Oreochromis niloticus: one gene and its partners. The protein of the gene in region 4 binds, or shares a complex with, the protein of the main gene of each other region. Links are inferred from orthologs where the notes say so. Each region holds a gene or a part of one and is shown on either strand. Other genes may lie near its edges.

What was found.
Region 1: the proteins of tgfb1a (region 4) and nrros are in contact, whole or in part, in a cryo-EM structure (PDB 7Y1R), measured with the Homo sapiens proteins. The link is inferred for Oreochromis niloticus from reciprocal best matches to the Homo sapiens genes TGFB1 and NRROS. Residues at the interface, in NP_000651.3 of Homo sapiens: Leu30, Ser31, Thr32, Cys33, Thr35; in NP_940967.1 of Homo sapiens: Phe194, Glu195, Ile196, Glu197, Gly198, Gly199, Phe201, Leu210, Leu212, Pro218, Cys219, Ile220, Val221, Asp222, Phe223, Gly224, Leu225.
Region 2: the proteins of tgfb1a (region 4) and tgfbr1b are in contact, whole or in part, in a crystal structure (PDB 3KFD), measured with the Homo sapiens proteins. The link is inferred for Oreochromis niloticus from reciprocal best matches to the Homo sapiens genes TGFB1 and TGFBR1. Residues at the interface, in NP_000651.3 of Homo sapiens: Ala279, Leu280, Asp281, Asn283, Tyr284, Tyr328, Ile329, Trp330, Gln335, Lys338; in NP_004603.1 of Homo sapiens: His39, Leu40, Thr42, Lys43, Phe55, Asn68, Met70, Ile78, Phe84, Val85.
Region 3: the proteins of tgfb1a (region 4) and itgav are in contact, whole or in part, in a crystal structure (PDB 5FFO), measured with the Homo sapiens proteins. The link is inferred for Oreochromis niloticus from reciprocal best matches to the Homo sapiens genes TGFB1 and ITGAV. Residues at the interface, in NP_000651.3 of Homo sapiens: Gly242, Arg243, Arg244, Gly245; in NP_002201.2 of Homo sapiens: Asp178, Asp180, Phe207, Tyr208, Gln210, Ala245, Asp248.

What each region holds. Positions count from the first base shown.
Region 1 is NC_031974.2:26,327,405-26,335,413, forward strand, and holds the start of nrros (transforming growth factor beta activator LRRC33), read right to left. Parts: upstream 3,003-8,009; 5' UTR 2,796-3,002; intron 1,443-2,795; 5' UTR 1,430-1,442; coding exon 1,328-1,429; intron 160-1,327; coding exon 1-159. UniProt on the Homo sapiens protein: Key regulator of transforming growth factor beta-1 (TGFB1) specifically required for microglia function in the nervous system.
Region 2 is NC_031974.2:34,528,136-34,534,990, reverse strand, and holds the start of tgfbr1b (transforming growth factor, beta receptor 1 b precursor), read right to left. Parts: upstream 3,015-6,855; coding exon 2,951-3,014; intron 1-2,950. UniProt on the Homo sapiens protein: Transmembrane serine/threonine kinase forming with the TGF-beta type II serine/threonine kinase receptor, TGFBR2, the non-promiscuous receptor for the TGF-beta cytokines TGFB1, TGFB2 and TGFB3.
Region 3 is NC_031987.2:29,168,858-29,175,721, forward strand, and holds the start of itgav (integrin alpha-V), read right to left. Parts: upstream 3,023-6,864; 5' UTR 2,602-3,022; coding exon 2,438-2,601; intron 1-2,437.
Region 4 is NC_031979.2:33,775,535-33,783,354, forward strand, and holds the start of tgfb1a (transforming growth factor, beta 1a), read left to right. Parts: upstream 1-4,799; 5' UTR 4,800-5,168; intron 5,169-6,122; 5' UTR 6,123-6,503; coding exon 6,504-6,828; intron 6,829-7,820. UniProt on the Homo sapiens protein: Transforming growth factor beta-1 proprotein: Precursor of the Latency-associated peptide (LAP) and Transforming growth factor beta-1 (TGF-beta-1) chains, which constitute the regulatory and active subunit of TGF-beta-1, respectively.

The DNA of each region.
Region 1 (8,009 bases), on a different chromosome or scaffold from region 4:
AGCTAAGCTCAGGGCGGTTAGTGAAGGGTAACGGAGAAGAGAGGCGTTCTGTAGTGTTTCAAAGAGGTTGTAGTTGAGCTGAAGCTCTTCGATGTTTTCTGGAAGTCCTTCGGGCACAGATGTGAGCTGACCATTATTGCAGCAAGCCGTTTGTTGTATCTGCAGAGGAGGTAAAAAAGCACATGCTTTAACACTTGCATACTGGTTGTGTTTTGGCTTTTTAAAATTCTGGCAGAAACTGCATTTCTTTCTTGCACAGCAGATAAATTTTAAGATCGTCATGAATAATATCCATGTGCACTTAAAATATCTTATTGTGGGAAGATTTCCCTCTTAAATTACTTCTCGTGTGGTTATTTGTAAACTATGCTAGCATGCTAAACTAAGATAATGAGCATTGCCTGCAGTACATTAGCGTCTTACTGTTAGTGCAACCATTTTAGTCTTCCTGTGTTTCGGGATTTAACTGAAAGTACTGTTACCCACTGTACTGGCTCACAGAAAAACATGGTGGGCTGTAGTTTCTTAGTCTAGTAGGTCATACCACAGCTTACCAAAACTTTATTATTTCCTTGACAGATCACTTTTCCATTAGCATTCTGAGTCACTGGACCACTCTAAAAATACTTTCTGGCGAGATGCATTTTTTTTTTAAAAACGCTCCAAATTGAAGTTTTCAGTTTAAATAACTAATCATTTTTTCCCCTCTCGGAGTTTTATTGGTTTTATTGCTTTAGATGTTTCATTTCTAGAATGATTCATATTTATATTTATTTATATGACTGATAAACACTCAACAAGAGAGATTTCATTTCTTTCTCAGAATTGACATCCGCTTCCAAAACCCTGCATCAGATATTAATATTCACAAATTTAGACTTTTTTGTGGCCTATTGGAACGTCATTAAATAATTAATACAGTGTAGGAATGTGCCAATGGATTTAATCTGAATGGATTTTGATCTAACTAAAGGTATAAACCACATATACAGCGTGCTTTTAGAAGGTGGATCCTATTAGGGACTGGATCTTTGTTAATAATACAGAACTTTCCATATTTCAATATCATTACTTGATGCTTTTTTCCAAACAAATTTCATGTTTACACATTTATGTTTCAGTGCCTTAGGAATAACTTTTTTTATTAGAAATTTTACCTTTGAAGTTGTCTTACCAAAGTCACTTTTTAGTTTTAACTAAGCCAAACATGAAATCGTTTGGCCTTTTCCATGTGATATATTGTAAAATTTCCCCGATATTCCTAAAACATGCTACAACCAATTTTCATTGTGCTCGGGAAAAGCTAAAGGAACGAAGAGCGTCTTACCAACTGACATCGATGGTGCTGCGGATGACTCGAGACTGGCGTCAGCGTTCTCCACATGTGCAACAAGCAGAGAAGGATGGGTGTGAGCCTGTGGACTGGCATTTTCTCATCCTTACTGTTGAGAACACAGAAGAAGAAGAAATGCGTGAGCGTGTTTGTGTCACATACTTTTAGATTTTTTCCCCTTTGCTGAAGTGAGCAGGAGCTGGTTGTTCAATATAGGCCTGACAGTGGGCTTATTCTTCTGTTTTAAACCATAGTTATTACTATTTGTATATAGTGAAAAACCTTGTATGAAAAAATTGTGTAATTATAAACTTTGTCTTAAAATGTATATGTGTCTGAAAAGGAAATTCTATCCTAGCAATGGACGAAAGCAGCTTGCTATTAAAATGCTGAAGCAGCCAGAAGGTCAGAGAGTGGACAGGCAGTTTAAAAATTCAACTTTTATAGCCGAGGTTCATTTTCACAATTATTTGAAAAGCTTTGATAGTGTAAAAGTCTACAAGACTATATTTAAGTGTCTCAGGTGAGAGTGGAGCTCATCACTTTTTTCAATCTGCTCATATCTAAATGAAAATTGTTGTAAATAGTAAGTACAGTTGATAAAACTCTAAAATGTGAAGGTGTAATATAATCTTTACACCGTTTATGCCAACGTCATGTACTCGGTTTCATTTTTATTATATGTGAATAACTCTGATTTTCAATCTTTGACTTACGGCCTGTCTCGGGATGTCGGAAATGATGGCATATTTTATCCTGAAAACATCTGCTGTACGTTTTGCAAAAATTTCCCAGATTTCAAATCAGACCACTGTGTGACTCACTGTATGTGGAGGCCGTGCGTTCCTTTTTGGCTTGCATGTATTGTTGGCTTATCCATTATAACGCATGCATGGTTTCTAAAGAACACGAAGGTTTTCTTGAACATTTTTTTATGTTTCTTCATTTGTCTAACCGATTTATTACCATTTTTATTTTGCATCTGCGTAGCTCACATTGAGTAACTGTGCCACCGCTTTCAATATAATTTCTAAACTATGTTCCTGGAGAGAAGTTAACCTCATGGAAGAACATATATTTGCAGAATCTTCCTTTCTCTATCTGATGCAGCCTATTTCTTTTATTAATAAGACCGTGCACTGTGTTAAAAAGACACGCACACTTACTTTGCGTTTGCATTTATGCGCACTATATGTTTACATTCATCAGGCAACATCTAAATGACTCAAACATGGTCTGAAAACTGTTATGCTGCGCTCACATTCGTTTGTCAAAGCGGTGCGCGGGTGTATGCATACATAACACTCAGAAAATAGAGCGTATTCAGAAACAGATGATCGTTAAAGTATCTTGCTTGAATGCACCGACTGCAAAATGGGCTTAAATTAGGAATTCCTCATTTAGGCGATGCGCTTTGCTTCACGCAGGAGAACACCGTGCAGTACAGAGTTCATTTACTTACACTGGTGGTTAGGTGTGGATTTGCCAAGCCACTGACGGTTGCTCCCCTGACCATATCGCTGGTTGATTCGCTGTTGCAGAGCGCGTTCACATGTGTGTCAAGTTCAGCTGCTCTCCTCTGCACTGACTGAAGCACAGATGCCCCTTCTTTACTATTCACGGAAGTAGGCAGGCAACGGAAACCGAGTCACATGGACAAGCTGCAATCAGGCAGGTTCTCAAGCTCGGGGCCACAGGAAGGCGAGTGCAGGCTCAACAGCTCTTAACCACCACTGCGCAAGTGTTTTCTTTCTCTTCTTTTTTTTTTTCCTTTTCTCCTTCACAGCTTCACAGCAGAATAGCGTTATTATTCAGACAACTGATACTGGTAGCACAACTGCTACCACAAAAACCCAATGAGAACACACCCTTCACACCCTCTGCTCGTTCTGATCAGCCAAGCTACTCAAGAGGAAACCACTCAACGCACACACCCTTCCTGCCTTATTTTCGGCCTGTCACTGCAACAGACAAAACACACACACACACATATATATATGTATATATAAATATATGTATATATATCTACACACACACATAAACTGACTTTTAGCACTCTTTATAAAAACATACCTTCGAGGGTTATAGGGATTCTGAGTCAGATAAGGCACAAGGGCTCAGAGCATAACTGCAGAAACTAAGCAATGTACTCTGTTTGGCTTTACTGATTTTATTTTCATTCTCCAGCTAATAAATGTACTAAAGTCACTTTCAACATTTGTGAAACTCCAGCTGTTAGCTTGTATCTTATTTGTAATGAAGAGTTGGTGCAAGAATGGGGAATTAGGAATCAGGAAGTGATGGTGCCTTCTGTGGAGAGTTGATTGGTCAGGCATTCCTTCCTGTTTTCACACAGGACGTCTCACTTCTGACTCTGTTGCAAGGTTGGGTGGCAACAAGATTTTCTGATCCATATGAGTATGTGTGGGTGCTGACTTTGTTGTTTGTTTGACACTCGTAAAATCAAATAAGGTGGCTGCTTATGAACTACAAGAAGCCCCCACAGGGCACCTTTAAACGTTACATGTGATGCATAAAGAAATAGATTTAAGACTTGTTGTTCTTACTACAGAAATGCCTCTGCAGTTGAGATGAAATCTATTATACATTCACTGGCCATTTCATTAGGTACGGCTTGCTAGTGCTGCGTTGTCGCCTTCAGTGCAGCGTTAATTCTTCATGGCGCAGATTAATTATGGAGCTGGAGACAATCCCTTGAGGTTTTAGTCATGAGAGCATCACACTGTTGCTGCAGGTTTGCTGTCTGCACATCCATGATGTGAATCTGCTGTTCCACCACATCCCAAAGGTGCTTGGTTGAACTGAGATCTGGTGACTGTGGAGGTCATTTGAGTACACTGTACTCACTGTTGTGTTCAAGAAAGCAGTTTGAGATGATTTGAGCTTTGTGACGTGGTCACAGAGGTATGGACATGGTCAGCAGCAATATTCAAAAAGGCTGTGACAGTTAAACCATGCTCAACTGACAGAAAGGGGCCCAAAGTTGTCTGATTTTGGGGAACCCGTGTGAATTGTAGCCTCAATTTTCTGTTCTTAGCTGAGAGGAGTGACACCCAATGTGATCTTCTGCTGCTGTAACCCATCTGCTTCAAGGTTAAAGGTGCTGTGGATTCAGAGATGCTCTTCTGCATACCTTGGTTGTAACAACTGGTTGTCGCCTTCCTATCAGCTTGAAGCAGTGTGGCCATTCTCCTCTGACCTCCAATATCAAGAAGGCATTTTCAGTCCGAGAACTGCTGCTCACTGATTATTGTCTCTTTTTCATCTCTGCAAACTCTATAAACCCTAGAGATTGTTGTGTGGGAAAATCCCAGTTGATAATCAGCCACCACCAACCATACCTGCTTCAAAGTCACTAAAACAACCTTTGTTCTCCATGGCGATGCTCGGTCTGAACTTCGGCGGCTCGTCTTGACCGTGTCCGGATACCTGCGTGCACCGAGTTGCTGCTGCAATTGACTAATAAGATATTTGCATCGATGGGCAACTGCACAGGTGTATCTAATGAAATGGCGTGTGTGTGCACCTGTTAGTGTTCCACCAGCGATGTGACCTACAGTGGCTTTAGGTGCAGCTTTACATGTGGCCTTGCTCATGTTCAGTTGTAGCAGCGTGCAGTGTGAGGCAGTGTGTGTCAGCTAAGCGCACTGGGTGAGAGCAGCTCCTGCACTACACTTGCTCAGTGTTGTGAACACGTGCAGTGCAGTGTGTGACTACATAGCACTATTTTTTTTTTTTGTCTGTTTCAGCAGCTGAAGCCATTTTAAGACATGGCACACTACTGACATTTGCATTCTATTTTTGAGAGCTGCGAAAGGGTTCTAGCGGTGGTGTAAAAAGTCCCACGAGTGTGTGTGTGTGTGTGTGTGTGTGTGTGTGAGGGGTGGGGGTGGAGGGGGATGTGGGTAGTTGCTATTTGACGAAACAAAAGGGATGGAGACTTAAATGTAAACACTAGAACACTTTCTTAGTGTCTTAAATTTAACGGTTTCTTTTCTTTCTTTGCTTAATTTCTTTAGATATTAAAAACAGCTTCTATAAATATTCACAAAATTCCTGTCTTCCTGTTAACGCCTTCAGAGCATACGGAGCATACATCAGCACACCTCAGTCGTCTGTTTAAGGCTGTAGGTTGTGAGAACAGATACAAGCAGCAACAACAGTTGACGTTACACTAATGTGGGAAACCTCTATCCTCTCGAGAGCCTTTGCTGCATATCATCAGGCTTTCTCTGTGGTGGGAAGATATTTGCATTGCATGCACAAAACCGTCACTGCCCTCTTGTGGAAACTTCTCGAGGATCAGCGGCATTTTCGTGGGCCCTTAAATCTCGGCTCTGTCGAAGTCTCCCGCCAGTCAAACATTGCATCAGAGGGATTTAGAAAACCTTTGAGAAGGTGTAGATGTTCCTCATATTGCTAAGTTATACCTGTAAATGCAACTTTCCTTAAACCAAGGGAAACATAGATTTATATCAAAGTGAGGCACTGGCATCCACCAGGATTTTATTTCTATTATTGAACTGATTTTAAAGGGAACTTTTTCATTCTCACAAAATCGTTACCACTTTAATTTAGTTCAAAAGTCCAGCTTTTATTTTTACATTTAAGTTAATTCAAATGTTTATGTTTTTTCACATCTAGTTTGAGTTTCTAGTTTAGTTTTAGTTAACTATGATAACCTTGGCTGTTATGTTTTGGAGATGTTTGACAAATGGAAAGGCTTGCAGTGCAGTACAGATGCTCCTATAAGTCTATGCATTAATTTTAGTGACTGAAATTCCAGTATTTCATTATTATGTTAATGGTTGTACAGTCAACAGGCAGCAACTAAATAAAGCTTCAAAAATTAATTTAAAATAAATTATATATAGTCTCCATCCTTTTTCAGATTCCATATTAGATTGATATGTGTGGACAAAACCAGTTAAGCAGTTATACAGCAGGTTTGATGGTGAACGGGAGGATAGCAGCCCTGGATACAGACAGTGAGACGGGCAAAGTAAAAGTATCAAGGATGGAGAAAGTGACTTTGATAGACAGTCCGGCAAACAGACATTCAAGGACAGAACAGAAAGCGGGGAGTATTAGCAGGTACTCTAACAGGCAAGCTGTAAACAGGAGCCACAAATTGGCAGACGCGAAGCAGCCAATCTCTTTGCCTTGGCATTACATAGACAGTCAATCATTCAATGAATTCTCTCCTTCACTGCTGAGATGCTGTCCAGCACTGAGACGCTTTTTCCCTGAGTCACGCTGAGCTGATTTTAGTGCATTGCAAAACAATTTCTGTTGGCACTTTTTGAGATGTAAAATGTATCTTTTATTGCAGAGTTGCCTTTAAATAAATACTGATAGAGAGCAGGAAGACAGAACTCGACATCGCAGTCATGTCAGTTATGTTAGCGATGTGAAGACACCATTTCACACCTCTACATTTACAAAAGAAAGCAAAAGTCAAGCTTGAAATGTTTCATTTTGGATGAAACTCTCAGAGGAGGTCAGCTGAGGTTATGAGCAGTGCATTGTGGTCTTTAAAGATATATCCCAACTTTCACTTGGATATGTTGCTGTTTGTCTGAGGCCTTTTGCTCTGTTGAGATGTGCATGTTGTTCACTCACTAGCTAGACAGACAAGACCAAAGTGGTGCCTCAAAGTAAATCAGCATGTTTAAGACATTACTCACACACTGAAATGCCATCAACTCCCAGCTTTATGTATGTTGCTGAATGGAAAGCTTGTTTTGGTGTACTGCCACTCTTTTGCTCCCCTCTTCTTTACAGCGTTGCTTCAGTTCATTGAGGCTTTTTGGCCATTTGTTTATGCACACTTCTCTTGAGATCCTACCACAGCATTTCAATCAAGTTGAGGTCTGGACTTTTTATTCTTTTGCTGCCATTCTGGTGTAGATTTGCTGCTGTGCTTCAAGACATTGTGTTTTTATCTCATCTTGTTTCATAATTGACTCTAGAACTGTTTGACATTTTGAGGTGTTCATGGTTGACACAATGACAGCAAAGTGCTCAGGTCCTGTGGGTGCAAAATAAACCCAAATCTTCACCCCTCCACCGCCGTGCTTGACAGTTGGTGTGAGGTGTTTGTGCTGATATGCTGCATTTGGTTTTCTCCAAATGTGCTGCTGTGCATTAGAGGCAAACCATCTCCACTTTGGTCTTCTCTGTCCAAAGGACACTGTTCCACGGGTCTTGTGGTTTGTTCAGATGCAACGTTGGAAGCCATGCTGCTATGTTCTTTTCAGAGAAGAGGATATTTCCTGGCAACCCTTCCAAAAAGCATGTTCAGTCTTTTTCTAATTGTACTGTCATGAACTTTAACAGTTAACATGCGAGCTGAGTCCTGTACAGTCTGAGATGTAGCTCTTATGTTTTTTTGCAATTTCACTGAGCATTGCACGGTCTGCTCTTTAGGTGAACTGGCTGACAGGTCAACTCCTGGGAAGATTGTGTTAACACACCTAAATAGTCCAGACATGCAAACCACTAAAACTTCTGCTTTTATAGAGCTGCTCACACGTACTGATCACTGATGATCAGCTAAAAGAGTGCATTTGGTTAGCATCACCTGGCTAATACTTACCTCCCTGATTCCTGTAGAAGCAGTTAGGATAGTCTTAGTTCTCCACAGGAATGGATA
Region 2 (6,855 bases), on a different chromosome or scaffold from region 4:
GTCTGAACTCTTTTGGCTCCTATTAATAGAAGAAAGCCTTCCAAGGAGACAGAGTCTGTTGTGTTTCATGACTTTGTTTAGACTGCATGTAGAGCTTACTTTATTTGACTGGACTTGAGATTATTTATTTTTGTATTTAACAGAATGTTTTCTTTAAACAAATCAAACTTTAGTATGCAAAGTAAATACAAACAGACGCTTTGGTTATTGTTGACAGATGTGTGCAGTTAAAAATACTGTGATTTTCTCTTTTTATTACTCATTAATAATCGATCACTACAATAACCAGCAGCTTCAGCCCTGACATCATACACTAGACGTCGTCCTCAGCCAGACTGAAGCTTTCACTCAGAAACACAGCAGCCTCTCCGTCAGTGATCGAGGGTTATTCATTAACACATTGTTGCCAACGGCTGCTCGTGTGGCTACGACCACTCAAATTAGTTGTGGTTCTTTAAGCAAGGACAACGGGTGTCTGGGGTCACCCACATGCCTGGCATTCCTCCACTGCTAGTCCTGACGGTGGGAGAACGCGGTGCCCAGAAAAACCTCCACAACAATAACATGTTGTATAAACACCCAACAGTGAAGCATGAGCAACACAACCATTCGCAAAAAACAGCAACTGACCGTCTGTGTCGATTTTTACTGTTTCTAACAAAAACATCTGTTCAACCCTCCATCAAAGAGGAAGCAGAGCTGCCACTGGTGGAACAAAATCCCATGACCACTGGGTCACTAACAAACAGCCCGTCCTGGCTGTTATTGAAGGATTCATCAAACAGCATTATGGGAAAAGGCTCTCCTCTCATTCAGCTTAATGTTTGTTGCTGTGTTTGTTCAAAGTTAGCTTCCTACCACTCTGCCCAGTGTAACCATCTGACAGTGTGGCCACTGCTTTAAGGAAAAACACTTTTCAATAATTACTTGAACATCACCCACCCTCGTCTACTCCACTGAGCGTGGAGGACATGTGACACATTAGCTTCAGCTGGCAGTGCTCACAACAATTCTTTGACGCCTCTTGTCATATCTGGTTTTGCATGTTTTGCTACGATTTTCTGCCAAACTCAAGCCTTCAAACATGGTGGTTCACAGAGATCGTGTCACTATAGTGGTGTGCATGTGGTACACAGACTGTCACAGTAACATGCCTCACTCTCCAAACCAGGTATGTGCCCACTGTCCACTCTTCTAGCAACACTTTAACATTAGGAAACAAAAAAAACAGCTCTTGAATGACACTGCTTCGTGTATCATTTCCAGCTCATCTGCTGCATTTAAACATTTGCAAACATGTATATACTTTGAATTCTGCATGTAGTAGTGTGTACGTGGAATACTCTGTAGGTGATCGGTTTCTACATCTTAAAATATTTCACGATTTTCATTTCTTACTGTGCTAAAAATGGAGGAGGAAGATGGGAGGGAAGAAGGTTTTTCTGAGTGACAGAACATCACCTCCAGCCCGTTAGGGGGGAGGATGATGAGTGCTAGTGACACCATCCAATTTAGCTTGCTGCCTGTGCTCAGCTGTGTGCGGATGCTGCTGAAGCAGGAGTGGGAGCTGCATGGGTGTGGTGCTGAACAGCAACGTGGCACAGAGGTGGCAGTGAAGATGCTCTCATGCAGTCTAAACTGTAGCACACAGCCACTCGTGGTCCAATTAAAATCAGACTTGTTGTTAATGTGAGGATAACAAACGAAAGAAGGACTGGTGTTGCTCCGAACATGGACCATGACAAGCCTCCTGCTGAACAAAGAGCAGAAGTGCCTCCCCTTTGTTTGTATCCCTGAGCCAACATATCAGTGTAACATCCAGCCTGCAACTGAAGCAGCAGCAGAGTATATGAGGACCCCACGGGGGGGCTTTAATGACCTCTTTGTATATGCCAGCTGAAATCACGCTTCCCCACTCATCACCAGCCTCTCTGTATACACAAAGGAATGTCACACAATGAAGCGCAAAAAATAAAAATGCAGGTGAAGGCTGCTTGTACCTTTAAGAAAAGCCTTCACCTGTAACAGTCAGCGCTGGTTTTAGCGACCACGATGTTTTTTTAATGAAAAACTAATAAAAATCGGGGCTCAACACTCGCGAGCGCGAGCAGCAGTGCACGCGCCTGCCCTCGTCACTAATCGTGCTGGCTACTTCAAAGCTGCGTTTCCTTAAACACTTCTACTGTAGCCAACTACGCTGCTGCAAACATGCAGTGAAACGATGCAGCTCTGGCATTTACGCAGCAGCGACTTCAGCATTTATTTAAATGAATTTCTTCTTCAAAGTTACAGCAGCGCTCAACTAATGTCTGACAGAAGCTAACAGGCTAGCGTCTGCTCGTCAGGCAGAAAACTACTGAAGTCAACCAGCAAGTTACTCTTTAAGCATTTATTAACGTAGAATAACGGAATTATTTATCAGACTGAGATCAAAGGTTATTAATGCTCCTCAAGATGAGTCCTGACCAGAACACTAACAACGCGTTTGAGATAAGAAATGGTAAATACAGATATTTACATAAATCCCAGCAGGAAAAATGTTTGTTCCCAATTTCAATTAATGTTTGACAAAAAGCAAACATCCATCCGTGATGCGGCCAACTTTCTCTCAGCCACACTCGGACTGTTCCTTCAGACGGTCCGGTGCTGGTCCAAAGCAGGATCGGAACGGGTGACCAAAAACGAGCTTAGCACGCCGAACCGTCTCAGCGCCGTGTGACTTGTTGCTGCCTTTGTCCTTTTCCCCCAGACTATAAACATTCATCAGGCAGACAGCAGCAGACTGGCCGCAGACCCTACGCCATTTTAGTTAGACACAACCCGCTTCTTGGGGGTTCTTGAACAAAGAGCACTTCTAAGGGAAGCGAGTCGAACCAAGAGTGCAAGTTTCGACAAATACACGAGAACACCAACAAACGCACATCTACTGTGTTCATTTCAGGCCACTTACCATTATTTTCTTGTATCCTTGTCCCAAAAAGAAGGACGACCACAAAAAGCCGTACTGCACCCATCGTGGCTGTGAACCAGACTGCCACTCGACTGCTAACTTCTCCCTGCGCAGAAGAAGACGGCCGCTGATAGGCTGACGGAGCAACGAGCCCGCCTGGCCAGGACCTGCTCAGGAGCAGAGCGAGCTGATTGGCCAAGGAACGTGCGACACCCCGCCCACTAGAGCAACTGTAACGCGCCTGTAAACAAACCGTGTTCACTGCATTAACAAAGAATGTTATAATTTAGTTACATTCATATTACTTCAGTACTACACCGTGTTCGTATATTTCTAATAGAAACCAAACTATTCTTAGAGAATAGAATAATAAGTCTTACACAGGGGATATGTGATATATGATATATGCCCTATGATATATGCCCTAACTATATGCTTTAGCAAAAAAGAAAGTTTGAAGCCAAATCTTAAAAGTAGAGATAGTGTCTGTCTCCTGAATCCAAGCTGGAAGCTGGTTCCACAGAGTAAATACTCTGTAAGTCCGTAGTCTCTCTCTTTCAAACCCTTCTGCAAACTCAGGTTCTGGTCTGACATACATTTCTGTTTTCTATAAATAGTGAGTTATGTTTGCATCACACATCAAATATTTGTATGTCCTGTATCCCTTTGTGCTTCTTCTGTTATGAAGATAGGGAAGGCTTTTTTGCATTTTAAGGTTTGTAAATGCTTTGAACTCTCAGTTGGTTCACTCACTTCATAAAAATACTTAATTAACAACTAGTAAATACCTGAATTAGCCATGAATTACAAAATGAAATAACACCTATAAACCCTCATTTCATAATCTGTGTATGTATAAATGTGCATCTAAATATGCTGTTAATCATTTGCTTGGACTTTCTAAATGGCTTTAACAGCTCCTAAATAACTTGTTTGTAGTTACCAGAATGAGCAATAAGAACACGGTAAAGTAAAACTATGTCCAGGCTACAAACAGCTGCTGATAACAGAGCAATGAAGACAGCATACATAATAAAGCTGAGTGCTGGCCCCAGCAACGCAGCCATAGCTTCAACAGCTGCAGTCAAAATTGCAGCTTAATGCTTATCAAAGGTTATAGTTTCCTGGGTAAAGTTTATTATTATTATTAGTAGTAGTAGTAGTATAAAAACAGCAGACACAATTAATTTTAAAAAATTTAATCGGAATTTCAAAACACATCCAACCTACAGTATCTGCAAAATATGTAGAAAATTTGATTACATACAAAACATCTAGTATGACAGCAAAGAGAAACTGGTCAGCTTCACAGAGTTGAGAGTGTTTTTTCTTTGATTGGTGCTTACATCTGGAGAAGCAGACAGGAAATGCCATTATGGACTTCAAAATGTGACATTATTGACAAACAGTTTTATGTCAGAAAAGATGGCATTTGTTGCTATTCCATCAATTTTGTAAAAAAAAAAAAATTGTTTTTTACTATTAAAATCAAATATGGCAAAACTTAAAAAACAAATCAAAGAAAACTGAAGTAAATGATAAACGGACTGCTACTGGTACACAGTGTTGGTCAAGTTACTTGAAAATAGTAATAAGTTACTAATTGTTCATTACTTCTCCAAGAAAGTAATCCTGTTACTTTACTGATTACTTATTTTCAAAAAGTAATTAGTTACTTTATTACTTGAACATGATACACAACCTGAATATGTAATAAAGCAATAGACCTTTCAGCACAATTCTATTTTTTCTGCATAATAAATCATATAAAACGTAATCAAATGAAAAAGTCTCTTTTTAAAACTTTTTGATGCATTTTAATCTTTTGACTTCATGCACGTTGTATCAAACAAAAATTTAATTATATGCAACAGTCTTTGACTTAAAGAAATTTGTTTAACATTTAAACTTATTGTCTGCATGTTCCAGCATATGAAATAAAATAATGTTTTGTGTTTACACTCACTCTTTCAAATAGATGCAAGTAAAACACAGCAAAGAATAAATAAAATCAAAGATTCAGCAGCTTTGAGTCCTGTCGCTCTTAAATCTATTGTCACCTGTTTAGCAGGAGTGGGGTGGGTGGAGGTTTGCCCACAGCAGTCATGTCAGTGGGAGGATCCGGGGGTTTCTCTGTGAATGTCACATTCCCGTGGCAGCGTGCTCAGTGCTCACTCAGATTTGAAGTTTAATTTTTCGCTGTAAAAAGAAGTTTGCTTCCCACGCAGAGTGCACAGCGGACGGTAATGTTTTGGTCACTTTTTACGGACTAAAACTTAAAGTAATGCGAGTAATTCCACGCTTTAAACGCTGCATGGTCGTACTCTCTCCATCACTCCATTGTTGATCTGCACACATCTGTTGCTGCCACAGGCGCTGCACGTTTGTATGTCATTGTCATGAAACACTTTCAGTTTAGTAACGCAGTAACACAGCGTGCGTACAGGAATGTAACTGTAAGACTGAACTGTAATGACTGTAACTGTAACTGAACAGAACTGTAATGTAATTACTTTTTTGCAACAGTAACCCCTTACATTACTTGGAAAAAGTAATTGGATTACGGTAACGCGTTACTGCCCATCTCTGCTGGTACAGCTAGGTCCATAAACTTTTGGACAATGACAAACAATTTTTTGAAAGGTTTTTAAATCATACATCTACATAACAACTGTGATGGTCTGACATTCAAGTGGTGATTCAATCCAGACTTCGAGCGTCAATTCAAGGATTTTAACTATAAAGGACAATGTAATGTGTAGGAATTACAATCCATAAACTGTGGTCGTGGTACTTTAGCATCGAGCTAGTGCTACTGAACAGGACAGAGCATAAAGGAAGTAACGTTTTTATAAGTGGCAGGTCCTTTCAAATTCAATGTTTCTATAAATTCAACAAACAGAAAACACATTGCTGCACAGCGTGTTGCTAGCTAAAGCTACAGCTGTGGTGATTTCCAGGGAAAGAAAAGAGTGTGAGATAACTTCACTCAGCGATGGAGAAAGATATCAGAAAGACAGGACAGGAGGGGAAGAAGAGCAGTTATATTTGTATAGATTTATATTAACGATTACTGTGATGTACGTAGGACAGCATGGTGGTGTTAGCACTGTCACCTCTGTATGGAGGTTGCATGTTGTCCCTGTGTTTGCCTGGGTTATGTCCACGTACTCCCGCTTCCAAAGACACGCAGTTAGTGGGGTTAAGTGGGGATTCTAAACTGCCCACAGGTTTGAATGTGTGTGTGAATAGTTGTTCGTTTCTCTGTGTTAGCCATGCGACAGACTGGCGACCTGTCCGGGGTCTACCCTGTCTATCACCCTATTGTGTCTGAGACAGGCTCCTGCCCATTTTCTTGCTGAAGCATCCACCCTCATTTTGTCTGTATCCTCTTAGTAGATGGCAAGACATTTTTATCAAGAATGTCTTGGTACATTTTTCTATTTATCATTCCTTTAGTTATATAAAGTGTGCCAGGGCGCATGCTGAAAAACAGCCCCACACCATGATGTCGTTGGTGCGGTGTTTTGGGGTGATATGCAGTGCCTTTTGAACGTTGTGTGTACTATGGCATCAACTTTGGTCTGATCTGATCAGACCATACTCTCCCTGTCTGGAGCTCTCCACACGTGCTCCTTAGCTTAACTTTTTTGATCATTCTTTTTAGTCCTCTATTTGAAAACTTAAGGGAAGCACCTCATCATGGGCGGTTTATGGTGAAATGATGTACCATGGCCCAAGAGTGACTGCAAAGTGCCATGCCACACTTGTTTGTAATGAGCTTGTAGGTGCTCAGATGAGAATGAAGACACACTTTGACAAAACATCTGTTGCACTTGTAACCCTTCTTACAGTTTATTAATAAGAATAACTAAACTGTCACTAGGCCAATATCAGAGAATCTG
Region 3 (6,864 bases), on a different chromosome or scaffold from region 4:
TGATGTGGTTGTTTTAAAAGCTGACAGGAACCACACTCAGTAGAATAAAATTAAAACAACAACAGGAAAACAGCTACAAATCAAGTGATCTCTCAATACGTGTAATTACTGCAGGCCACACATTGTTACACTGGGGGGTTTTTAGCTTCCAGCCACTACTGCTGCCTCAAACTAGCTAATAAAAACCGAAGGACAGGCTGAACTTAGCGTAGCTTATTGTTAGTAACATTTGGCTGATATAGCTTTGTGAGATTTATAAAATGAATCAAAACTTTTGACCTTTTTTATTTAACAGAATACATAGCTCTAAATGAAGCCAACACAAAGTACCACAAATGAACGGTTCTTCTAGTGGCTCTGAGCTTGGCATCAGAAAAACATAGTGAGGCAGTGCCCATAGATGCATTAAAAGGCCTGTTTACAGCCTGGTGTAAAAACTGTTTTTGGCCTCCGTGGAGAGTTTCCAGCTTCATAACAACTCTAGTATGAGGGGATTTGTATTTATTTTTATAACTCATCCATCTAGATGCTGACAACATGTTTAGCTGTAGCTGATTGGTACCCGCTGGGTTTCAGCTTCACTAACTGGAGTCACCATGTTTAAACAACTGACATGGGTGTGGTGCGGAGCATCTAAGAAGTTTGTGATTCAGTTTTGGTGAGTGAAATTGTAGTGTCTGTCTGTTATTTAGCACTATTTAGTAGGCATCTGTAACTGTGCATTCAACCCATATGGTTTATAGATGATGTTTCCTAGCGACAACGTATCATTCCACCCTCTCATCTAACCACAGTCACTTCTGGGTTCAGCAAACCAAAATGGCAGCAGTCAAACACTAATGGGTGATGGGTGGCGTCACAGTAGCTACGACCATGCTTTATACAGCTTATGCTTGACATGCATTAGGCCCTGTGAGGAAAATCTATAGTTCTTTTTTAATAACTAGAACCAAACGAGTCTCCACAGCGACCGTGTTCTGTATGAGGACATATTTACATTATTAAGCCATGTTCAGCCAACTTCGGTCCTGATATCATATTATACAAATCCACTCTGACCATGGCAATAACTGTAACATGGGCAGTGAATTTCAGTGCTGATCTAATTAGTGTTACTAAAAGGATTCAATGTTTTTCAGGCTACTGCAGATGAAAGTCTCTAACTTTCTGTCCGCTCTGTCAGTCTATTGTCACATGAGACTGCAACATTTCTCTGATATTTTCTCAAATAAAGAACCTTGAACCTTGAAATATGGAGAAATGGCAGGCAATCGATATTTATCTGCACAGCATAGAGGTTTTAGATGTTACAACACAAAGTTACTGAATATGTTCCCTTACCAAGGTCAACAGGGCTCTGCTGCACTGAGGGAGTCATCTGCAATAAACTGACATTTTCCTGGGTACCTACTGATGTTTAGTTGAACAAGGGATGAAATCCACAAGAATTTATTTAACACAAAAAATGAACAACTGGGCTATGCGTTATGGGATGATGCTTTAAAGAGGTCTGGGAAAAAACCACCTGTTTTCTTATTATACATAAAAAGTAGCACGGTGCAAGTTTGTTAATGTGCATCTACAAAACTGCTGCAGAAACTCTGTGCAGGGAGAGAGGATGACAGGCAGCTTTTTGCTATCTTTTCATGCAGACACTCTAAAAATACAGCAAGAAACAAGACCAGGAAGCATAAAGGCGATGATAAGACTGTTATTAGGATGTCTCACACACTCCAGGGAATATTTTTTAAAAACGTTTTTCAGGAACCTTTATGACACTTGACAATATGGGAAACACAATTTAAAAGCACCTCAGGTTAAACCTCCTCTATGACCGAGGGCGTTGGCACTGTTTTGGGACTGCATTTGGTCTGTTAATGATGTAAATTAACAAAACAAATGCAGTCTGAAAACAACTAGATCAGTAGTGTTCTTTTGAGAGAACTACTTTCACTTCAGTAAAACTGGATAATCATGGATATCCATGGACGAGAGTTTAGACAGCACCAAGCCTACATGGCCTCTGGGCACTGTTCCTGTTTGTCTGTGTTCATTTTAAATAAAGTCACAGCTGGTGCAGCTTTGAAGGGAGAATCTCTGACTTATGGATTTTTCTTAAAATATATGGTTATAATAATGGGCAATAAATTCAAATTGCCTGTAAAATTCAGCCCTTACAATTTGGTTAATAAAGTACTGAAGTAAAAGTTAAAAGTTAATGGACTGCTGTTAATGGACTGTCATGTTAAATCTTAAAAACATATCACTAGCTGAGAACTTGTCACTAAATAACAAAATGGCCAAAGTGTAAAACTTAAGTAAAGTACTTCAACAGAAGCATATATAATGTAAAGTAAGGTAAACCAAAGGTTACATTGAACAGGCGCTTCTCCATCACCATCATCACCATAACCATCTACTCTGCTACAAATCTTACTTTAGGTTGTTTAAAGCCTTAAAGAAGTCCACCGAAAAGCCGAAGTAGCTCCCCTCAGGTCCGGAGTATACGATGGAATTATTCACATCCAGGTTGAAAGAGCCGGAGCGATGGAAGTGTAAACACACCAGGACCAGCACAGCAGCTGTCCGTGTCCCTGCCATGGCTGCTGCTGGAGATCTCCGCGGCTTCACCGACACAAACACAGACGCCGAAGATGTTGTCTGTCCCTTATCAAGTTAATCAGTTAGCTTAGAGGTGTTGTGGCCTGTATGCACCCACGGTGTAACTTTAAAATGCCTAAAATCTCAGCCCTGCTAACAAGCGTCCCCCCCGCAACCGTACAGAGAACAAGTCGTCATGTAATTGTTAAATAAAACACATTCCCAGCTTGTACCGGAGCTAACCAGCGTTACACACAGCGCAGGGCGGGGGCAGAGTCAGTCTTTCACCGGCGATTCGTTAGTTTGTCTAAGCGATGAAAGCGGCGTAATCTCGGAACAAGCTCGGGGAGAGGCCGCGACACTGTGTGTGTGTGTATGTTGTATGGTGTGGGTAAGTGTGTCAAGGATAGGCTCGCTCCAACTAGCTAAAGTCAAGTTATATGTCCAAACATAGCAAACAACTTCCGTCTGATACCCTTCAAAACAAAAGCATGATTTTCGGCTGTGCTGGGAGTTGGAAATTTAAATCAAATTTACAATTTCAAATGTAGGAAGGGATTCAGAACAGTTGAGTTTCTTTCAAGCTAGCTAGATATATAGATAAATATTAAATAGTTTAAATTATTTTCAACTATTGCTCAGCTAAATTACACACACAGTGCGCAATGGCATCATTGGTAGTTATTGTTGTTGTGACGATACTTCATAAATGCTCAGACGTTCTATCAAGTCCATAAACATTCAGGTTCTCTTCCTGCCCAAAATAAGCTGGCCACTAAGCACTGCTGTTTCCAAATAAAAACTCCCATTAATAGAGAACAAATAAATAAAAGAGAAATAAACTGGATCCAGCCCATCAGGAGACACACACAAAAAAAGTCATAGAAATGTTTGTGCCACTACAATTCATTACAGTTGTGAGAAACACTATATATGATGCTCTGCTGAAAAAGCAGTGAAAGTCCATCAAGTACTGTTTTCTTAGGAATTTTTATTAAAATGTTTAGCATATTTTGCTTTTCTTTTTTTTTTTTGAGTTACAGTGTGTAAAATCTCACCACTAGATGGCAGCAGATTGCATAATTGCAGTCAACTCCTCTCAGTGCTTTGGTGGCTGCTATAGGACAAACATGTTGTAGTCAGCCAAAAGAGATCAAAACATTAAATTTAGACTGTACCACATAACCAACTTTTTTTCTGTTACTGTTTGTATATAAAAAATTATATTTTAATATATTTGAGGAATACATATACTTAACAATAGATGTAAGAGTTAAAAATAAATAAATAAAAAAAAGGTTATGTGTCAAATATTTTGCTGTATTTTATGTTTTTACCCTTGAGTCACTTTTTGGGCCTATCGGCCCACCAGGAAAATGCCTGGTATCCCAGATTAACCAGCCCTATATTGAGGCGAGTTGTTGCAAACATCCTAAGGTTTTCTGCCAATAACACTTGTTTGCCACTGTTAGCCTCTGTTTGCCTGTGCTAGTGAAAGTTTCCTTGAAGTTAATATAACCCTGTTTTACTCAAACACTTACAAAATAAACTCTCACTCAGTCATATGAGAATCTTTACATCAGACAGAAAGAGAGATTTTTAAGACACTCAATCCTAAACTAACTTTTAACCAGTTCTTGTTGTACAGCTGGTTGTCAGCTAATCACAGGGTCGCATGCTGGCAATAAGTAACTGCAACAAAATCTGAAAAAATTGATATGCACATTGATATGAAGGAGATGAGCGGTGAATTGAGGAGGAAAAGGAAAGCATTTTATCCAGAATCCAGTCGTGCTGTCACTTTTCTTCACATTTTGGTTCTTTGGTGAAAGAGACCTGTTATCAGACGATAAAACACCTTCCCATTTTGAATCTGAAGGTGCAGACACAAATTAAAATTTGCCTCCACAACACACAAACGCTCATGAATTCTCTTGTCCTCCACCTTGGGCGTACTATGTATTTGGCCAATCTCTAATCACATACATAAGACACAGTTAGGCAGGAAAGGGATGTCCCTCTCACTATCTCGGACACTGTATTCAAGTTGGAGAGGCAACACTGTGACTTCCACAAACTGGCCCAAGTCCTATATATTTTAATGGATTAATTCAGGCAAGTTTATGAGAACATATTCATTTGTTTTGGAAATCATTATTACACACTAATCTATGTATATGTATTAAACCAATGTTTGTTTGTATGTTTGTTTGTGACCTTATATAACACATTATTAATATAATGCTCTATTTATAGACTATTAGCAAATTATTTAGCCTCCATAGCTTTGGGATTGTTAAAATGCCTTTAATCATGTTAACTAGACTGCACATACCAAGCTTTTATTCTGAAGGCCAGGTCGTTTCCCTTTCTTGGTGTCCTTGGTTAGTCAACATGACAACACATTCTGAACAGGAAGTCCATTCCCCTGCATCAGACAGCGTGAACACACACACACTCGCACACACACACACACACACACACACACACACACTTTTCCAAGACAGGCAGGCGTAGCCTATAAGGAGGGATTTTGACTGTCATGTAGCTGTTTTCTGTTCTGTTTTGCTTCATTCTGGGTCATCATCAACTTATTATCATCAGTCATGTGTAAAAGATCGCTGAAGTGTAATAGTCAATAGTTTACTTTTATAAATAAAATTTAAAAGGCCCTTCCTATTGTGAGAACATTACACATTTTACACCTCTAAAAAACGTTGCCACTGTCAGCAGATAATATGAAGGATTGGTTTGTCTCGTTAGCTGAAACGTTGTTACTAGATAATGGAAACTTTAAACGACAGAATTAATTCATTTGTTCAACCTCTTATGTTTAGGCAGTTTGAAGTGGACGCTGAAAATGGTTTTGCTCCTTAAACAGACCAAAGAAAGCAATTTCTTGATGAATTACATTTGAAGTAACTAAAGAATTGGCAAATTTCCCCCCTTTTCTTAATGAGCTGTGGTGCAGTGATAGTGATAAAAGAGGTGATTTTAATTTAGGGAAACATCGTCTTGATTGGACAAAGCTAAACTGCTCAAGCATCATATATGCTTCAGATCAACTTTACCATGTAAATTTACAGAGTAAGGACTGTGGATTTTGTCCCTCTGCAGTAAAAGTGGTTCGGGAACAGACTTCTCTGGGACAAACTGGAAAAGAACAATGATTACAGCAAGCAAAGCTAGTTTTATTGTTGGGCCCTCACTATTATATGACAGATTCATGATTTGACTCTTATAGTAAAATCTTACAATCCATTGCAGAGACACCCCTCAAACCAGATCCAAATGATTAAAGTTTCGAATATAAAACTCTCAAATATAATGGATAATAATGGAACAGAACAGACTTAGATTTCAACTCTTTTCACCAACTTAATGCACTTTACACTACAAGTTTTATTCCTCTTTTTTATTTATCTAACACCTCATTTTATGCACTTTATGCCCTCAAGTGTGTTATGTAATTTGCCTCCCATCTAAGGTTGATTAAGAATTATCCAAGAGGAGGTGAAAACCCATGCAAGCACAATGAGAGCATGCCTGTCCACACATAATAGCCCCAAAGAAACCAACACAGTAATAGGTGACTTTTGTAAGTCTTTAACAACATTACACATTTTATACACATTTGTAACATATTTGCAAAAGGAAGTATCCATCTGCCTGCTTTAAAAATGGCTACAATCAAAGTTTCTCTGAGAAGGGGACAACATTATTGTTTACTAGTCATTAGTGAGCCCCTTTTCAGGGATAGGCAGGTACCACTTTTGTTCTTTTCTGTTCTTGAAAGTCACGTTACAACTTTTGTATATTTAGCTCTAGAAAAGGCAACGAGGTAAAAGAATGAAGAAAAAGCAAGAACTAAGTCTGATAACAAAAAGTTTTTAAAAATCCAGTCCTGAGCCCAACATGTAATCAAAAGAGCCGAGTTCCAGTCTCCTGCTTTCTCAGTTTGGGACTTTTCAGGATAATAACATACAGCAATACAGGCCAGTTTAGAACAGGGAAGCCTAAAAAAATCAAGACATCGGAGTCAAAGTTCATTGCAGTTTGGCACATGTCTGGAATCTTTGAAGGCCAAATGGCACAGCTCAAGTCAAAACAGATCTGTCAAGTCTAAACAGACCAGTCCAGGGCAACTCTGCACTTGTTCTATGCTAACACCCCCCACCCCTTTTTTCCTTTTTTTCTCATTTTTGCTGTACACATAATAGTGGTTTAAAAATCTAATTTTAGTGGCGATTTTACAGAGTTCAT
Region 4 (7,820 bases):
AAAATGCACAGAAAAGGCAGAAATACGGCCCAAACACAGAACATCAATTCACAAAGCCGTCAGCGTAACACACGCACGTATACACTTTCGTTGTAACCATGGAGACAGGTCACACTAGCCTAAGAGAAGAAGCACGTTGAGGTAGTAGCAAAAAGTTGATGAGTAGTTTAAATATGTATTATATGGCACATTTTTGGTTTATATTGAAGATACAAGAAGGAACTTAACATAAAATAACTCGGCCACTTTATTAGGCACACTTGTTCAGTTGCTTGCTAAAGTTTTAACGTGATTAACAGCAATCCATTGCATTTAGGCATGTAGACACAATCAAGTAAAATCTGATATGTTGAAGTTCAAATTGAGGATCAGAATAGAGAAGAAATGTGATTTAAGTGCCTTTAAACATAGCATGGTTGTTGGTGGCAGATGGCATGATCAGAGTATTTCAGAAAGTGATAATTTGCTGGGATATTCCTACACAGCCATCCCCTGAGTTTACAAAGACTGGTCCAAAAAAAGAAGGTATCCAACAGACTACAGTTCTCTGGGAAAGGCAACAGTAACTCAAATAACCACTTGTCACAACCAAGGTATGCATAAGAGCAAATCTGAATGTACAATGCCTTGAACCCTTGAACCTTGAAGCAGATGGGCTGCAGAAGACTACACTTAGAGCCAGTCCTGTAGGCTAAGAGCAGGAAAATGAGGGTACAATTTGCTGGAATTGGAAAGTTATAAAAAACATTGCCTGTTCTCACCAGTCTTGATTTCTGCTGGAACATGCAGGTGGAAGGGTCAGAATTCTGCATATATAACATGAAAGCATGGTTCCATCCTGCCTTGTATCAGTGGGTCAGGCTGCTGATGTAAAAGTCTGTGGGAATATTTTCTTGTGACACTTTATGCCCCTTAGAAGAATTGAGCATAATTTAAACACCACATCCTACTTGACAATTGTTGCTTCAAGTAAGAACCTTCACCATGTCCATCCATCTATACCAGGGGTGGGCAACTCCAGGCCTCGAGGGTCGATGTCCTGCAGGTTTTAGATCTCACCATGGGTCAACACACCTGAATAAAGTGATTAGTTCATTACCAGGCCTCTGGAGAACTTCAAGACATGTTGAGGAGGTCATTTAGCCATTTAAATCAGCTGTTTTGGATCAAGGACACATCTAAAACCTGCAGGACACTGGCCCTCGAGGCCTGGAGTTGCCCACCCCTGATCTATACCCACGTCCCAATCCAACAGTGCAGGTTTGGGATGTGATGGAACAGGAGATTTGCATCATGGATGTGCAGCCAACAAAACTGCAGCAACTGCATGACACTATCATGTCAATATGGGCCAAAACCTCTTTTTTTTTCCTTTTTTTTTGCCTGTCCCGTTTGGCTCTTTTGCCATCAGAATTATTGTCTAAAGGCAAAGAAAGATGCCCAATGGATTTACTTTACCAAATGGACCATCCCAGCTTTGCCGTAATGGTCTGTTTGATTATTGTTTATTTTATTTTATTTTAACTTGCTAAATATGGGACAGACTTGACTGGGGAAAAGAAAGGGGAGAAAGAAAGAGGGAAAGAAAAACAGCAGGGAAGAGGAACGGTGATAAAGGGCAAAAAACAAAAACCAACAAAATAAGCAGACAAAAAATACATATATCAATCACCTGGATCACCTGTTGAGAAAGAAAAAAGAGAAAACAAGCAGAAAAAAAAGAGCAACATAATAAACAACATCATCACGATGATCTATGGGAATATAACAGTAAATACTAAATATTAAACATTATGGTGCAACACGTGAGATCGACAGCGCACAGTGTGCTTTGAGGTAGGAGCCAAAGAGGGTGTAGTTTGTGTGTGTGATCACCCGTGTGTACACCTCTGAGCATGAGCGCACTTGTATTTAAAAGGTTCCTTCATGTAATGATCTGCTAGAGGGTGTGGGGAGCCACAGCCCCGTCCTCCAGGGCATGAAGCAGGTATGGAGGAGATCAAGACTCCAGACATCCAGAGGCCCCCAGAACACAAGAGACCAAGGAAGACCAACAGAGGGGCAGCCGCGCCACTATCCCAGAAAGAGCTGAGGAGAGCCCCAGATGAGGGGTCACTCAGCAGCCGCGGAGCAGAAGCCAGGGGGGGTTGCAGTGACGTGCCCGTGAGCTCCGCCGGCAGCCAGCTGTGCCAGAGTGACCGAGCCCCAGGCCGAGCGGCCGAGGGCACCCCATCCCCGATGTGGCCCGAGCGAGCCCCAGGCTCCAGGCCCCGACAAGCAGCCACCAGGAGTGAGCCGGTGTGTACCTGGACGCCCATCCCCGGACACAAAGAACCACCAATGCGCCGATGTCTGAGGGCATCTGCCACAGGGGAAGTGGTGGGGGGAGATAGGCCTCCATACCTTGGAGGGCCTGAGATGGGCCAAAACCTTTAAGGAATGTTTCCAGTACCTCGTTGAATCTGTGCAACAAAGAATTAAGGCAATTCAGGAAGCAAATGAGGTCCAACCCAGTGCTAGAAAAGTCTACAAAAATAACCCCAAGACTTGTGACAGCTAAAATTAATTTCCTCTAATTAGGCTTTAGATCACACAATCAACAACACCCAGTCAGCATCGACAATATGATCAATTTTAAAACTATCAGCATAAAAACTAATGACCTCAGCTTTGAGAGCAAAAGCTGTTATCCAAACCAAATCCCAGAGCAAACTTCATGCCAGTTCTCAATATTGTCATCAGTTGGAAAGACTGTTGTAAGACCTTACAACATCTGATGTGGTGATATGATTTATATACTATCTGTTCTCTCTGTTGACTGTGAATATTTTACCTCACTTCTTTCAGAGACTTCAGTGTTTACCACAGCTGTGTGGGATCTTTAGCAGAATGACACAGAGAATCATTTAGCTCTTCGATGTGAATGATGGGAAAGCAGTCCAAGTTGCACTCTTGTGCTCAGAGACACACAGACACCTTGAGGTACTGCCATGTGGGCTATGTGGTGACAGGTATGAAATGCCCCATGGCAGACTGGTCAGACAGGATGGCTGTGCAGTGTCAGTAAGAGATGGATGGCATCTTCTTAAGTACTTATATAACTGAGATTTCTTGCTACAGCAAACTTTCACACAACTTCTGTTCAGGGGTTTTCTAAAATACTCTATCCACTGTGACACTCTTAATTGTATTACAGAATACACGTCCAGTTAAAAGAATGACAACATAAAAGGTCTTTTTTAGCCATTAAAAACAGTCTGCTTCTTAAGACTGTGTGTAAGATTTTTTCCTCTTGTAATTTTCAAACGTTACTCTTGTCTATCTTATTATGCTGTTGTTAAAACAGCACTATACATTTGTAATGTATATTTTTTTGTAGGGGAAATAATTTGAAATATTCTACCAAATATCCATACCACCAAACTTATTATCGACAAGAAAGTCACTTCTATAACCGTTACACCATATTTGCCCACCAGGTGGCAGTGCATGCCAACTGGTTTAGGCGTCACAACACAAAGACAAAGATCAGCAACAACATTAAAAACACACACACAGGTAACAGTAAAAGCATAATCTGTTTACAGTGCTGGGAAACCGCGGGACCTAGGATTCATGTGACTTTTACTTTGACATATACCACCTACCTAAATTCAAATGTAGATCCCCCAATGTCAAAGGGACTCCATGATGGCAGGGGCCTCCCCCAGCAGGACAACACACTGCCACACTGCAGAAACCTGCTCAGAAATGGATCAACAACACAGCCAAGATCCACAGGCTTTGGCTTTGTTTTCCATACTCCCAGTCAGACTGAGCAACCGCAGGATTCCACAGAACAAGCCCAGTCCATGAAGGCCCAATGGACCCAAAGACTCTACTTGTGCCAGGCATCGGCGGACAGCCCCAGAGGTCCTGTCTCCATGCCCAGACAGTGTATGGAGGATTTAACAACACTAAATAAGATGCTATTGATGTTGTGGCTGACTGGTTTACAGTAATGGCTGCTGACATTTGATCACCCTTTTTTGTTTTTTTCTCACTATCTTATCATTAAGAGTAATCAGAGACATGGAAAAGCTGACACTTAAACAGCCTTTAGGTTCCTTGTTTGACTGACAACTGTTGTTGTATTACTGCTGAAATACAAGGGGATTTTTGCCCTGACTTTCCCTAATGCTGAATGTCACTATTTATTATCAGTTTGTAATGAACAGCTTATTCATCAGCACATTTGGGCAAACCTTAAAAAATTCCAAGAGTCTCCACTGTGCAATGATAGTTTGTTATCTTTACTTCTCTGTTGAATCATCCATCAGAACGAGACAAAAAGATTGAAATAATCAACAGTTTGTTTTAGTCTAGCCCTTCTTTTGAAAATATACAATCTAACCTCTAAAAAGCACCCAGACGCAGGACAGTGCACCACACAGCCCTGCCCTGTTGACTCCCAATGCTTTGAAATTCACTTGACTATTTTTAAACCAGCTTGTCTCAAGTATCTCAGTTCTTTGACATGGTTTGGCTTACACCTTTTTATCCACCAGGTAAATGTGGTGGGCGTTCGGTGAAAAATTTGTATAAGACTTTATTGACATATCATCGCTGCCTCAGTTGCCAACATCGCAATGTGACAGAGTTAATGCTTCTAAAGTCAGTATTAAGCATGTTCAGTTCCTGGCTTCCTGATGTGGACAGAAGTCAGCTCTGTTAAACAGCAGATGTTTTACACTGCGGCCGTTACCCTCATTTCCTGGGCGGAGAGCTGCTCGCTCTAATAGAGTAACAGGAACAAGAGAAAGAGAAGAGCTAGAGGGGGGAGAGAAAGAGGCAGAGCAAGGCAAAAGAAGTTATCTAAGCTCAGAGCTCCCACAAATCACTTTGTCACCAGCAAGCTCTGACAAGCAGGAGGAGAGAGAAAGAGTACGAGCAGAGACTCGAGTAAAACAGAGGTGCGAATAGGGAGTGTTGTCGGTGGAGCCTCGAAGGAAGAAGGTGTGAAGAAACTGTAGAGGGAAATAACGAGGTGATACTGCTGGATGGACAGAGGGAAGATAGAAGAGAGACGAGACTGAAATCCAGTTCCCAAAACAGCATAAGTTAAGGGGGACGGCTACTGCTGTTGTTACTGCCGCTGTGTCTGGATGGTACATCACCATTTAAAGAAGGTGTGTCAAACTTAAAATCTGTTACCGGAGGACACTGTTTCATTGAGACAGACATTTTAATCTTCTGACAGCAAACGCGCTAGAGACATTTAATCTCACAAGTGGAACCCAGAGAGCATACACTATCATATTATCATGTTTGAGAGAGAAGAGAGGGATAGAGAGACAGCTGCTCTGTCGGTGAAGTAGGCATGAGACAGAGGCGTTGAAAGCAATTTCTGGTGTAGTGCAGCTGTACACAGATCACATGTTGTTACTAGTAAAAAGAGGTAGTTAGAGCCAAGAGCAGTACATGTTTGTGAAATGTTTTTCTATAGGGGCATGCGTAGGTTTGTGACTGGTATTGAATAAGTTGGTGAAAGTAACTTCTTTGAGAACAATTTCTTTCTTTTAACCATTGATATTTGATTAGCTCCGGACTGACTAAAAGCGCCTGAGAGTTTTATCTGGACTGGAAAAGCTGAGGTCATCTGACCAAACCTAAAAAAAATAGGAAGATAATTTTCAAACTTTTTAACCTGAGACTATTATTAGTATTTTCTCTTTATTACAGAACATTACTGGGGAAATATTTGTCATTAGCACTAATAAGAAATTGTGCCAATTTAACCGTCTTAGTCTTAGATAACAAGTAACTCAGGCTCTGTAAACACCTGTCTTCATTTTGCTGAGTACCACACTACTCTTTTCACATTCACTTAGGTTGCCTCTGTAATGGAAGACTGTGGTGACATGTGGAGGATGATATGCTAGCTCTAAAATAGACAGGATTCAGTTTATATAATAATATAATATAATTTTGCATTTGGAGGTTTGAAAACATACAATCAAAAATTGGTCTGTGAGCACAGAAACAAATCTGCTGAATCCTTGATGGGTAGTAGTTTGTTTTGGACCTAGAGGTGTTGTGGAGACTTACAAAAGGGCACTGACTGTGTGCATGGGCTCTTTTAGCATTTGACAGCTCTGTTCTGGACTTGCTTCATCCTGTGGGACGTCACTGGGTTACCTGTTTGGCTGAGTCAGAGGCTGGGTCATCACTGGATGTCTGTCTGCTCACTGGGATTCTTTCCATCTGTTTCAATGCAAATAAGACAGATGTGTTAGGTACTTTTTACAGCAGCAGTGACAGCCGTGGTGGTGAATTTTCAGGACTCTCCACACTGCTGTAATTGTTTTGTCGTGTGTAAACACTTTGCGTCAGTGACACCTCTCCACTGAGTGATTCACTGTTCCCAAAGGATCCCCGGTTGGAGGAAGGCATTGAAAGGGAAGTCGGAGGAGCTTTTATTAAGAACCAAAGAACACAAGTGACTGAACAGACAGGTTGTCAACATGAAATTGTGGTTCTTGATATTGATGGTCGTGTACATGGTGGGCAGTGTACATAATCTGTCTACATGTAACACTGTGGACTTGGAGATGGTGAAGAAAAAACGCATTGAGGCCATTAGGAGCCAGATCCTCACCAAACTGCGTTTGCAAAAAGCGCCAGATGAGGCTGGGGAGAAGGAAGAGATCCCTGCCAACTTGCTATCACTCTACAACAGCACCAGTGAGATTCTGCTGGAGAAGCAGGATGAGGAGCAGAAAATCATCCCCAGAGAACAAGAGGAGGAGGAATACTTTGCCAAGGTGCTTAACAGGTTCAACATGACCAGTGAGTATAAAATTACCCTTAGCAGCAATATATAAATCTTGAATCTGTGAATCCTGATTGAATATTAAGAAAGGGGGCAATTCCTGATGGCTTAACTATAGTTGAATGTCAAGTAATGACTGTTATTTATGCTATTACAAGCTGAGACACATAATTCAAGGTGAACACTAGCATTGCACTGACACTTTCCACTCTGAAAAAATAGTTATTGTCCAGATGTCACATGAAGTGATGCTGTTAATCCCTCCACTACAGCAATACTGCTGTAATAATGTTATTATTACTAGCAGAAACATAACAATAGCATCGCTTACAGTCCCCCTTTGAATCAGACTTTTGTTCAGAATTTTGTTGATCAACACTAATATTAAATATAGTGCTCACAGTGCTGTCCAGAAGTTTCAAGCTGTACTCCCAAGTATTCACTGTATGCCTTATGGCTGGTGTCACTTCCAATCTTGTCCATAAACTCCCTCAACACGTGTAACCCTTATGATCTCCACCAAAGATCCTGAGGCAGTTTCAGGGGTTCAGAGATCACAGGCATTACAAGTTAGCAGAACTGTGTGCAGCATCTGGTCTGATGCTGTGTGTTGCTTACATGATATCCATGGCATTTTTACTGCTTTATTACTGCTCTTTGTCTGGCAAGGCTACATATGATGTTTGTTCAGCCAAATGGTTTCTGGCTGTAATTGCCTAATGATTCCCAAACTATTACGATAAACATATTTTCTAGTTTTGTTTCTATGCACCATTGTTCTCTGCATGTCTATACTCCTCACCCTATCAGGCAGCCATCCACACTATCCCCCTTTTATCCGCCACTTCAAACGGCACACTTTAGTGGATGGACCACGCTCAGGAGTGTGTAGACCAAAGAGAGAACAAAGCAACCTTCAAAATGAAGAGCACAATTTTGTTCTGCTTAGATAACAACCAAAGAACAGGATGAAAAGTAGAAAAGCAATAGGAAGAGACATGAAATGCAC